3 linked regions of the Xenopus tropicalis genome follow. The protein of the gene in region 3 interacts with the protein of the main gene of each other region in a pairwise test. Links are inferred from orthologs where the notes say so. Each region holds a gene or a part of one and is shown on either strand. Other genes may lie near its edges. The genes, in order: vesicle-associated membrane protein 5-like, napb and stx16.

What was found.
Region 1: the proteins of stx16 (region 3) and vesicle-associated membrane protein 5-like interact in binary tests that used the Homo sapiens proteins (3 or more experiments, as listed by UniProt). The two-hybrid records come from large-scale screens. The link is inferred for Xenopus tropicalis from reciprocal best matches to the Homo sapiens genes STX16 and VAMP5.
Region 2: the proteins of stx16 (region 3) and napb interact in binary tests that used the Homo sapiens proteins (3 or more experiments, as listed by UniProt). The two-hybrid records come from large-scale screens. The link is inferred for Xenopus tropicalis from reciprocal best matches to the Homo sapiens genes STX16 and NAPB.

Annotation. Positions count from the first base shown.
Region 1 is NC_030679.2:125,676,836-125,680,520, reverse strand, and holds vesicle-associated membrane protein 5-like, read right to left. Parts: upstream 2,905-3,685; 5' UTR 2,754-2,904; coding exon 2,622-2,753; intron 2,261-2,621; coding exon 2,123-2,260; intron 904-2,122; coding exon 724-903; 3' UTR 213-723; downstream 1-212. UniProt on the Homo sapiens protein: May participate in trafficking events that are associated with myogenesis, such as myoblast fusion and/or GLUT4 trafficking.
Region 2 is NC_030681.2:24,913,330-24,916,982, reverse strand, and holds part of napb (beta-soluble NSF attachment protein), read left to right. Parts: intron 1-787; coding exon 788-843; intron 844-2,435; coding exon 2,436-2,520; intron 2,521-2,892; coding exon 2,893-2,997; intron 2,998-3,653. UniProt on the Homo sapiens protein: Required for vesicular transport between the endoplasmic reticulum and the Golgi apparatus.
Region 3 is NC_030686.2:2,857,621-2,861,373, reverse strand, and holds the start of stx16 (syntaxin-16), read right to left. Parts: upstream 2,907-3,753; 5' UTR 2,736-2,906; coding exon 2,610-2,735; intron 1-2,609. UniProt on the Homo sapiens protein: SNARE involved in vesicular transport from the late endosomes to the trans-Golgi network.

The sequences.
Region 1 (3,685 bases), on a different chromosome or scaffold from region 3:
GCTTCTATTTACATAAATCTCCCATTTTAATATCTTTGTTATGACACTCGGGTTCCCATGGGGCTGCTGCCTTGCTGTTATAGTTTGCCTAATAAATAACATTCTTTTGCATACCTGCCAGTCCACGAACCTTTGCTCCCATTCTCTCTCTGGTGTTCTTTTGCCCCCCAGGCCATTAAACTCTTTCCTCTCCCCACTGAAATAGGCGGGCATAGATTTGTTTAACTATATTTTATTGTGCTTTTTGTGAAGGAAGGATTATTTCCATCTTCGAGGCATAGACAGGGTCTCGGTGCCGCTCTTGGGTTACAAAGAATCAGTGCTCTGCAAGTCTCTATGCAGATAAACAGAAAGGACTGTAACACAACCGTCAGCAAAATAAAAACGACTGTAATCCAACACTCTTTGCAAATAAAAAACAATGGGGTACAACCCTGCAGGTAAGTACAGGTAGACAAGCTACAAGGAGCTATGATCTTTAGGGGAAGCTTTGCAGTAAAGTCCATCACCCTACAAGAGTTTATGGTAAGTGGTGCACACCCAGGCCTGGATTGGGATTCAAAGTAGGCCGAGGCATTTCAAGTACACAGAGGCCCAAAAAGCCCCCCCCCCCCCCCAGCCCAATAAATAGTGACTGTCTATGGCATCTTACAGCAGCCCCATCTGGCATTCGCCAAAATCCACAGATTGCCAGTCTGGGCCTGTGCACACCCTTCCTTTAATCTAATGCACTCCACTGGCATTATTAGGGGTCTCATTGTTTGGCAGTGTGAACAACACAATAATGACAATGAGGATGATCACAATTACAATTACAATTCCTCCAGCAATGATGTACCAGCGCCACTTCTGCCACCGGGTATGGCGTTCCACTGTCTGGGCCGTTTTCTGGAAGTTGCAGGCCTAAGTGCAAAAAAAAAAGTTGCTACTTTAAATATTTCTATAATATTCAGATATATTATATCCTTGTCATCCACAGTCTGGTCATTTTCTAGTGAAATTCAGAAAGCAGACATGCACGCTGCTGTGTGTTGATCTTGCATGTTAAATAAGGTAGGTGGGAATATGAAAGGTCTGCAACATGCACACTCCCGTTGTACCAACGTTATAAAGTTCTTTCCTTCCCACTCCCACCTACTCAATGTTTTCCTTTTTTCCTTGCATGGAGCGTCTGTCTCCCCCCACTCTTGCAGTTTCTCAAGGGGGTATGACTGGCCTGCTGCCAAAGGAATGTACTACATTGCTCAATCAAAACTAATCATACCAGTTCCCGGGCACACCAAATGGGTCTCCAATAGAAGAGCCTTGCACTCAGGCCCGGACTGACAATCTGTGGATTCAGGCAAATGCCAGAGGGGCTGCTGTAAGATTCCATAGACAGTCACTATTTATTGGGCTGGGGGGGGGCTGTTTGGGTCTCTGTGTACTTGAAACGTCAGGGTCTATTTGGAACCCCAGTCCAGACCTGCTTGCACTGGCCAAATCAGAATAGGCTTTTTAACTGAAATGAACCTGACAGATGAACTATATCCACATCAGGAAATGAAAGGAACACAGTTTTGGGGCCACAGAGTTACGCCTGGGAACTGAAGGCAGAACAAGACACTATGGGCCTGTTTCCCTAGTTGCATGGCAGTCCTAGACAGTGACAAGACAGTAACCTTAGCTATTATAAATATACATAATACATTTGGTTTCCTTCAAATTGTGTATCTATTACATGAGTTGTTTAACATGAGATTTTTTGTTTATTTTCCACCTGCAAGCAAAGCACTCCTGCTGCGAGTTGGCTCCCACCTGTGCTTTCATGGCTGCTTTGCACTGCTCTGAAGCAAGCAGGTAATGGCTGGGCATCAGAGAACTGTAATTCCAAATGTTATGCCCATCTGCCCAGCTATGTTGATGTTAGGGGAGCAAAACACTAACAGTGGGGTGGGTGGCAGCAAGCTCAGTTCTGTATGAATAATGACAGGGGTGTGGAAGGCGCTCAGCATACAAAGGGAGGGAAACTGGATACAAAACGTGAAGCAAGGGAATGAAAAGTGTGCCACAGCAGGCTGCACACAGGAAAGAGAAGTGTGTATGCCCACTGCATGTACGTACGGCCTGTCCCATGACATACCATGTTAAGCAAATCATTGGATCGATCCTCTAGGTCAGAGATCTTCCCTTCTCTCTCAATGACCGTGTCAACATTCTTTTTCATCAAGACTTTCACCTCCTCTGCGTTGCGCTGACATAATTCCAGGTTGTTGCTCGCCTGGGGTTGGAAAAACAGAGAGTGCTGTGAGGGTTCTAAGGAAGTCCATGATAATAGAACTATATCACACATGAGCACTGGCCTTTTGGGAGTAAAGGGAAACTGTACAATGCAGGTTTCTGTAAAAATATATCACATAAAACAGCCAATGTGTAATCCAATGTTTCATATAAAGAAAGGCTTTGCATGAAAAATATACTTTTCTAGTATTATGTACTATGGAATAATCCCATTTTACCAACTAAAGTCCTCCTTCTGGCTCATATAAGGAACTGTGCTCCCACACAAACACAGGCACACATACACCGCTAGGTTGTCAATGGACAGCAAACACACTACTTCCTGTTATGGTAGAACCTACATTATTTCCTGTCAGGTGGTCAGTGGGAGATGCCATTAAATGGCTGAGTATTGTGACGGTAAAGTTTTCCTTTTCCAAACACAGATGTTGTTGTAATGGCCCTTCCAGGAAAGAATAGCATTGTCTCATCATCCACTCCTACGGGATCGATGGTAAAATACGGTATTTTCCAAGAAGGCCCATAATGCCGATTGAAGGATTCTGTATAAATATTAAAGTGTGCATAGCAGGCAACTTGATGGCTGTTAAAGGAGACATATAGGATACACGGAAAAAACCTCTAATTTTGTAGGCAATAATGAATAATATAAGGTGCTTTTTTCACTTTAGGCTAAACATTAATCCTCTCTGTAAAAATGGCCCCTTTATTGGAGCTCCCTATAGATCCTATCAGTTCTCTGTCCATGTTTCAAATGAAGGGTGGGCGTGTCCTAACAGCCCCTGCCAGAAGCACAGCAGGAGGGGGAGAGCCAATCACAGCCCTGCACTCACGCAAGCAAAGAAAGGCTTCAGTTCCCTATCAGGTCAGCCTAGCTGCTGATTGGTTCCTATCCTACAATGCAGTGTACTGAGAGCCGCCGGCTCCCCAGCTCACCCAGAGAATTCAGCCAGCAGGAAGTGGCACAGATGGGCGGGACTAGTGGGGTTTTGGGGGAATTTCTCAATAAATCAGTCAGAAACACAACTTTTTTAAGCACAATCCTTCTATATCTAGGAGTATAATTCACTGGTACATTCATCATTTTTATACAATAAAAGCAGTAGTTTACCTTAAGGTTAACTTTTAGTATGTTATAGAATGGCCAGTTATTTCAAACTTTTCAAATGGTCTTCAAATTTAATATTTTTTATAGTTTTTGAATTATTTGCTTTCTTCCTCTGACTCTTTCCAGCTTTTAAATGCAACAATTGTTATTTTTTATTACTTATCTTTCTAAGTCCTCATATTTCTATTTCATATGTTTCATATTCCTGTTCCACTTCATATTCCTGTCTCTTATTCATACCACTGCCTAGTTCAGGGGTGGGCAAACTTTTTGGCTCACGGGCCATATTTACTTACC
Region 2 (3,653 bases), on a different chromosome or scaffold from region 3:
CTTTTCACTCTACTGCGCATGCGCCCACCGCTGGCATTCCAGCAACGGAAGCCGGAAGAAGGAAGCGATCCGCTCCAGGTACCCCGGGCTGGTGCTGTTTTCTCCTAACAGGGGCACCAGCCCGGGGTACGAGGTAAGCGGTTAAAGTCACTTGGGGGTGCCTAACATTTTGGCACCCCCAAGTGATTTTGCCTTTCGTTTCCCTTTAAACGTGAACCCACCCCTTTAATATATTTGAAGGCAGACACAGCTATGACATTTCCTGCTGTCGATTAATAGTGACTGGTGCTACAGAGATGTTTCCATCACTGACCTAGTACTATGGGGGCATTTACTTTTCATTTTGGACACAGAAACCACAACTGGTGGGTGCAAATATACCATCAACAGAAACAGGACACTGTTTTCATTTGGCTTTTTAAACAGAGGAGAAGATTTATCAAAATGTGAGATTAGAGCTCACCACATAAAATTCACCCACTTTCTGTTCATTCCTATTCCGATTTTTAGAAGCATATTAATCAAATGGCAAACTCTTAACTTTCATTTATAACTGCTCTTCTTAAGACCCCATAGGAATGAATAGAAAGTGGGTGAATTTGATGTGGTCAGCTCTAATCTCAGTTTCATAAATCTGCCCCTAAGATATTAGGATTTAAAATATCAGGCAAACTTCATTATATTTCTAAGGTAATTCTTATTACCTGATTTTATGTACATTTTAAAGCAAAAAGAATCTACCTTTTAATTCAATATTTTTATATATTATATTCATTTTATCTCTTAGGCAATTGCACATTATGAACAGTCTGCAGATTATTACAAGGGAGAAGAATCAAACAGGTAAGCTTCTTGAATATGTCTTCTTAGTACCTTTCCCTATTTTCTAATAGTTCTCTATGTATTAAATGATTAGATGCCCCCAGCTGGTGGGTAGACATCAAGCCAGCTCTCCCACACCTTTACAAATTTAATTGAGATTCCACTTGCTTCATATGTGAGTTCAATTAATGGATTCACTAATTCTCACCTGTAAGAGAACGAAGGGGGCTTAGGTTGCAGCCAAAGTCATACGATGGCTTTTTTTGTGTAAGATAGTAACATATGGCAGAGTATCCTGGTGTGTTTATGGAGGACTAATTAGTCTATGACACACGCTTGACCAATTTTCACCAGAATTTTTAGTTGTTGAGACATCCCCACCTAAGAAATTCAGCAGCCAAGTGTTGACAGCAGGGACAGGAAGAGGATTTGCTGGGGACAACACCGTAGTACAGCAATAGTATAGTGATAGCAATGGTTCAGTCCATTCATGAGGAGACCCCATAAAAGGATTGCTTTTTCAGTCTTAAAGGAGAAGGAAAGTTGTTTTGGCATTTTACTGCCAATAGATTCACCACATTAGTGCCACCTAGAACAATATATTTATTCTGCAGAAAGCATTGCCATACCTGAGTAAAGAGACCTACAAGCTTTCTCCATTTGTTTAAGACAGCAGCAGCTGTTTGCAGTCTAGCGGTTTATCTCAGATCACACATTCATAAAGGAGGGGGGACTGAGTTTTATGAATTCTTATGGGAGAGGGGAGAGAGGAGAGAACTGCGCAGACTCTGGCAACGGAATTAAGGATTTTTCTGAGAGAGGAAGTCAGACACCCAAACATCATGTTTACAAAAAAGGAGACAAAAATCCTGTTTCTTTTGATAGAGGACTCTGTGAGTGCTTATGGCTGTATTTACATAGACCTTTCTGATAAAGCTTACTTAGTTTTTACCTTTCCTCCTTTACTCACAGTATACAGTATGTAGTCTGTGGAGAAGAACTAACGTTGGGAGAAATGCTCAAACTGATATATACACATCAAAATCTTCTCACTATGTTTCAATTACAATCACATTCATACTGGGCTGCACACGTATAGGTACATACATTGTTATGTATGCGTCTTTATGGGCTCTATAAACCCCATATTTTCATCTTAAATAATCATTTGCATTTCCACTCTGTCTCAAGTACATATTGCTCTAACCATTGCCAGAAATAGATGTAAAGGTCAGAATCATGTCCTCACGTATATCAAACACTTTGTTGTAGGTCTCCTGTGTCAGTTGAAGCAAATGGGGGTCACAGTAGGAATTGTGGGAGTGGGTATGTGCTGTTTAATCGCATTGTTCCCTGATGCAGGCTTGGGATTTTATAATAATATGCTGCAGCCTCTATGGTCAGTATTTAGCATGAAGGCTAATGAATAAATACAGAATTCCAACCCTGTATGGCGGATTGGCGCTAGAGTTAGAGCTGTTGGTTACACAACGGAGGAAAAAGAATATTGACACCATTAGCAGACAAGTTCTGGGATGTACCCAATGTAACTGGTTCTTATTTTGTTCTCTGATGCTTAAAAGTCTTTTTTTCTTCGGTTTATTGCATTTCAGTTCTGCTAACAAGTGTCTTCTGAAAGTGGCTGCCTATGCGGCTCAGCTGGAGCAGTACCAGAAAGCAATTGAAATCTACGAACAGGTTAGAAGTTAAATAGCAGTTTAATATTTATACTGTAATATTGCAAACAAATAGATTTTTCTAAAGAGGAATGAGGTTAAATACAAATTTATGATTTTAATCAATTTCCAAGCATGACAAAAATCAACAGAAATGAGCATATGTGTGTACGTGTGATGCATAATCTAAAATATTTAATAAATATATATTCCACTTGTAAATAAAAATAATTTATTTCTCATACATAGCCTGGGAACAGCTAGGATTTATGTTATAATGAGTGTGTAGCCTCTGTGTGAATGATTTAGTGAAGTTTGTAAATTTATTAGGAGGTTGTCCTTGAGTAAAATAATGCCATTTTATTTCTCAAACTGAAACTGATTTTTTTCCCAGATTGGTACAAGTACAATGGATAATCCTTTACTGAAATACAGCGCAAAAGAATATTTCTTCAAGGCCGCACTGTGCCATTTCATTGTGGATGAATTAAATGCCAAGGTGGGTAACTTGTTACTTTTCTATTCTCCTTTATATCTGCTGCATAGTATTGACTCTGTATATGTGCAAAGGCCTGTAATATTGTGATCAAACTTGACTCTAGTCCCATTCCATCAGCAGGTACAGGTATTATTTACTGTTCCACTGTCTGATTGGCTGATTTGGGGTACTGGTTCTAAGACAAATTTAGTGCCTTGTTATATATTATCTGGTTATTGTATTAAAGGGGTGGTTCACCTTTAAGATAACTTTTATATGTCATATATATGTCAGAATAGCTAATTCTTAGCAACGTTATGTTTATGTTTGAATAGTTTCTGCCTTCCTCTCTTTCCAGCTCTTAAGGGCTCTGGCACACGGGGAGATTAGTCACCCGCGGCAAAACTCCCTGTTCGCGGGCGACTAATCTCCCCGAGTTGCCTTCCCCCTGCCATCCCACCGGCGCCCGCGAACAGGGAGTTTTGCCGCGGGCGACTAATCTCCCCGTGTGCCAGAGCCCTTAGGGTGAAGACACACTGAGCAACTAGTAGCAGCTACTTTTTCATGGCTACTGAACACCAGAAAACACCGTGCTATAGACAGTACTAAGAATTGCCTCTGTTAAAACACACGTAGAGACAATTATCGGTAAATGATCAGCATTTTCTATTTTAGTA
Region 3 (3,753 bases):
CATACGGTTCCTGCCCATGCCCCGGGCACAGTAATGGGGGGGGAAGCCCTAACCTGGCATACGGTTCCTGCCCATGCCCCGGGCACAGTAATGGAGGGGGGGGGGAAGCCCTAACCTGGCATACGGTTCCTGCCCATGCCCCGGGCACAGTAATGGGGGGGGGAAGCCCTAACCTGGCATACGGTTCCTGCCCATGCCCCGGGCACAGTAATGGAGGGGGGGAAGCCCTAAGCTGGCATACGGTTCCTGCCCATGCCCCGGGCACAGTAATGGAGGGGGGAAGCCCTAACCTGGCATACGGTTCCTGCCCATGGCCCCGGGCACAGTAATGGAGGGGGGAAGCCCTAAGCTGGCATACGGTTCCTGCCCATGCCCTGGGCACAGTAATGGGGGGGGGAAGCCCTAACCTGGCATACGGTTCCTGCCCATGCCCCGGGCACAGTAATGGAGGGGGGGAGCCCTAACCTGGCATACGGTTCCTGCCCATGCCCCGGGCACAGTAATGGAGGGGGGGGGAAGCCCTAACCTGGCATAACGGTTCCTGCCCATGCCCCGGGCACAAGTAATGGAGGGGGGGAGCCCTAACCTGGCATACGGTTCCTGCCCATGCCCCGGGCACAGTAATGGAGGGGGGGGGGGAGCCCTAACCTGACATACGGTTCCTGCCCATGCCCCGGGCACAGTAATGGAGGGGGGGAAGCCCTAAGCTGGCATACGGTTCCTGCCCATGCCCCGGGCACAGTAATGGAGGGGGAAGCCCTAACCTGGCATACGGTTCCTGCCCATGCCCCGGGCACAGTAATGGGGGGGGGAAGCCCTAACCTGGCATACGGTTCCTGCCCCATGCCCCGGGCACAGTAATGGAGGGGGGGGGAAGCCCTAACCTGGCATACGGTTCCTGCCCATGCCCCGGGCACAGTAATGGGGGGGGGAAGCCCTAACCTGGCATACGGTTCCTGCCCATGCCCCGGGCACAGTAATGGAGGGGGGGAAGCCCTAAGCTGGCATACGGTTCCTGCCCATGCCCCGGGCACAGTAATGGAGGGGGGAAGCCCTAACCTGGCATACGGTTCCTGCCCATGCCCCGGGCACAGTAATGGAGGGGGGAAGCCCTAAGCTGGCATACGGTTCCTGCCCATGCCCTGGGCACAGTAATGGGGGGGGGAAGCCCTAACCTGGCATACGGTTCCTGCCCATGCCCCGGGCACAGTAATGGAGGGGGGGAAGCCCTAACCTGGCATACGGTTCCTGCCCATGCCCCGGGCACAGTAATGGAGGGGGGAAGCCCTAACCTGGCATACGGTTCCTGCCCATGCCCTGGGCACAGTAATGGAGGGGGGGAAGCCCTAACCTGGCATACGGTTCCTGCCCATGCCCCGGGCACAGTAATGGAGGGGGGAAGCCCTAACCTGGCATACGGTTCCTGCCCATGCCCCGGGCACAGTAATGGAGGGGGGGAAGCCCTAACCTGGCATACGGTTCCTGCCCATGCCCCGGGCACAGTAATGGAGGGGGGGAAGCCCTAACCTGGCATACGGTTCCTGCCCATGCCCCGGGCACAGTAATGGAGGGGGGAAGCCCTAACCTGGCATACGGTTCCTGCCCATGCCCCGGGGCACAGTAATGGGGGGGGAAGCCCTAACCTGGCATACGGTTCCTGCCCATGCCCCGGGCACAGTAATGGAGGGGGGGGAAGCCCTAACCTGGCATACGGTTCCTGCCCATGCCCCGGGCACAGTAATGGGGGGGGGGAAGCCCTAACCTGGCATACGGTTCCTGCCCATGCCCTGGGCACAGTAATGGGGGGGGGAAGCCCTAACCTGGCATACGGTTCCTGCCCATGCCCCGGGCACAGTAATGGGGGGGGGAAGCCCTAACCTGGCATACGGTTCCTGCCCATGCCCCGGGCACAGTAATGGAGGGGGGGAAGCCCTAAGCTGGCATACGGTTCCTGCCCATGCCCCGGGCACAGTAATGGAGGGGGGGGGAAGCCCTAACCTGGCATACGGTTCCTGCCCATGCCCCGGGCACAGTAATGGAGGGGGGAAGCCCTAAGCTGGCATACGGTTCCTGCCCATGCCCCGGGGCCACAGTAATGGAGGGGGGGGGAAGCCCTAACCTGGCATACGGTTCCTGCCCATGCCCCGGGCACAGTAATGGAGGGGGGGGGAAGCCCTAACCTGGCATACGGTTCCTGCCCATGCCCCGGGCACAGTAATGGAGGGGGGAAGCCCTAACCTGGCATACGGTTCCTGCCCATGCCCCGGGCACAGTAATGGAGGGGGGGGAATACTTTATCTTACACTTTAAGCCCAGGGGTAAGTTCCCCTTTAATATAACCATTAGGCAGGGCAGCCCCATACACACAGGACTACATTTCCCAGCATCCCCCCAGAGCCTCCCTGAGTTCCATGCAAGCCAATGGCGGCCCAGCTGCACCCCGACACAAGCCCAGGGCCCCTCACAGTCCATGCAGCCCCATTCCCAGCACACACAGAGGAAGCTATAGGCCTGGGGGTGCCCATCCCGGCCCCCCATTCCCGGCACAGGAGGGCCACCCCGGGCCATAGAGACACACCGAGCCCCGCCCCCCGGTGTCACAGACTCACCGCTCCCGGGCTCCGCGCACTCCCCGGGCGCCTCTCATTACTCACTTGCTCGGCCAGAATGTGCCGGTTATGGGCCGCATTGTTCCGCAATAGTAAGAAGGCGTCGGTCAGCCGGCGGGTCGCCATGGTCCGGCCTCAGCCCACTCCTACCCTCCCCAGTACCGGACACTCAAACCTGAGGGACCCGCCGCCACCGCCCCTCCGACCTGCGCCCGGCTCGCCGCATCCCACAGAGACGAGCACACAATTCCACTTCCGCCCCTGTCACAGATACTTCCGCCTCCAGCGCCAGAAGTCTCTCCCCTTTCCGCCTCCACCGACTGAACTGCATTTCCGCCCTCAGTGTGATCAGGTGACCGTGACGTCACATACTACTCGAATGGCGCGCCTCTGGAATCTGCCCTTCTGGAAACTGAAGCCTTAGGTAAAGGTTCCGGGCGTCAGGGTTGGCGGTTTTCCCGCCAAATTGGGCTACTAATTTACAGCCCAGGCGAGTTTCCAAAGTACAAACCCGCCAAGGTACAGATTTGGGCTATTTTTTTGGAGCCTTGGCGGGTTTGTAGTTTGGAAACTAGCCAGTTTTTTTCCCTAGGAAACCTGACGTACCTGACCCACTGCATGCTGGGTAATGTAGTTTGTAGCTAACAATTAGCCTACAGCTAGGATTAATATAAAACTACAATACCCAGCATGCAATTGGACAGTATAGACAGAGGCTCCCATTTCTATTCTATTCAGGCTGAACCTGTCTGTTCTATAACCTGCTCCCTGCTCTATAGGGTATGAGATTGTACCATTACTCTCTATTATGATGTGGGGGGGCTGCCATTTGTCACTTTCTGCAGTTGATCCTTAACTCAGGATATCTTGGGGCTTCTGGGAGTTGTAGTTCAACACACCCATATGTATATCAGGTCTGGGGTTAATGCAACATTCTGAATCCATTTCTGTAGGGACTTCCCAGCTGGACTGGGCACAGAGGGAATTATCAGCCATCCCAGTAACTGGGCACAGAGGGAATTACCGGCCATCCCAGTAACTGGGCACAGAGGGAATTATCAGCCATCCCAGTAACTGGGCACAGAGGGAATTATCAGCCATCCCAGTAACTGGGCACAGAGGGAATTACCAGCCATCCCAGTAA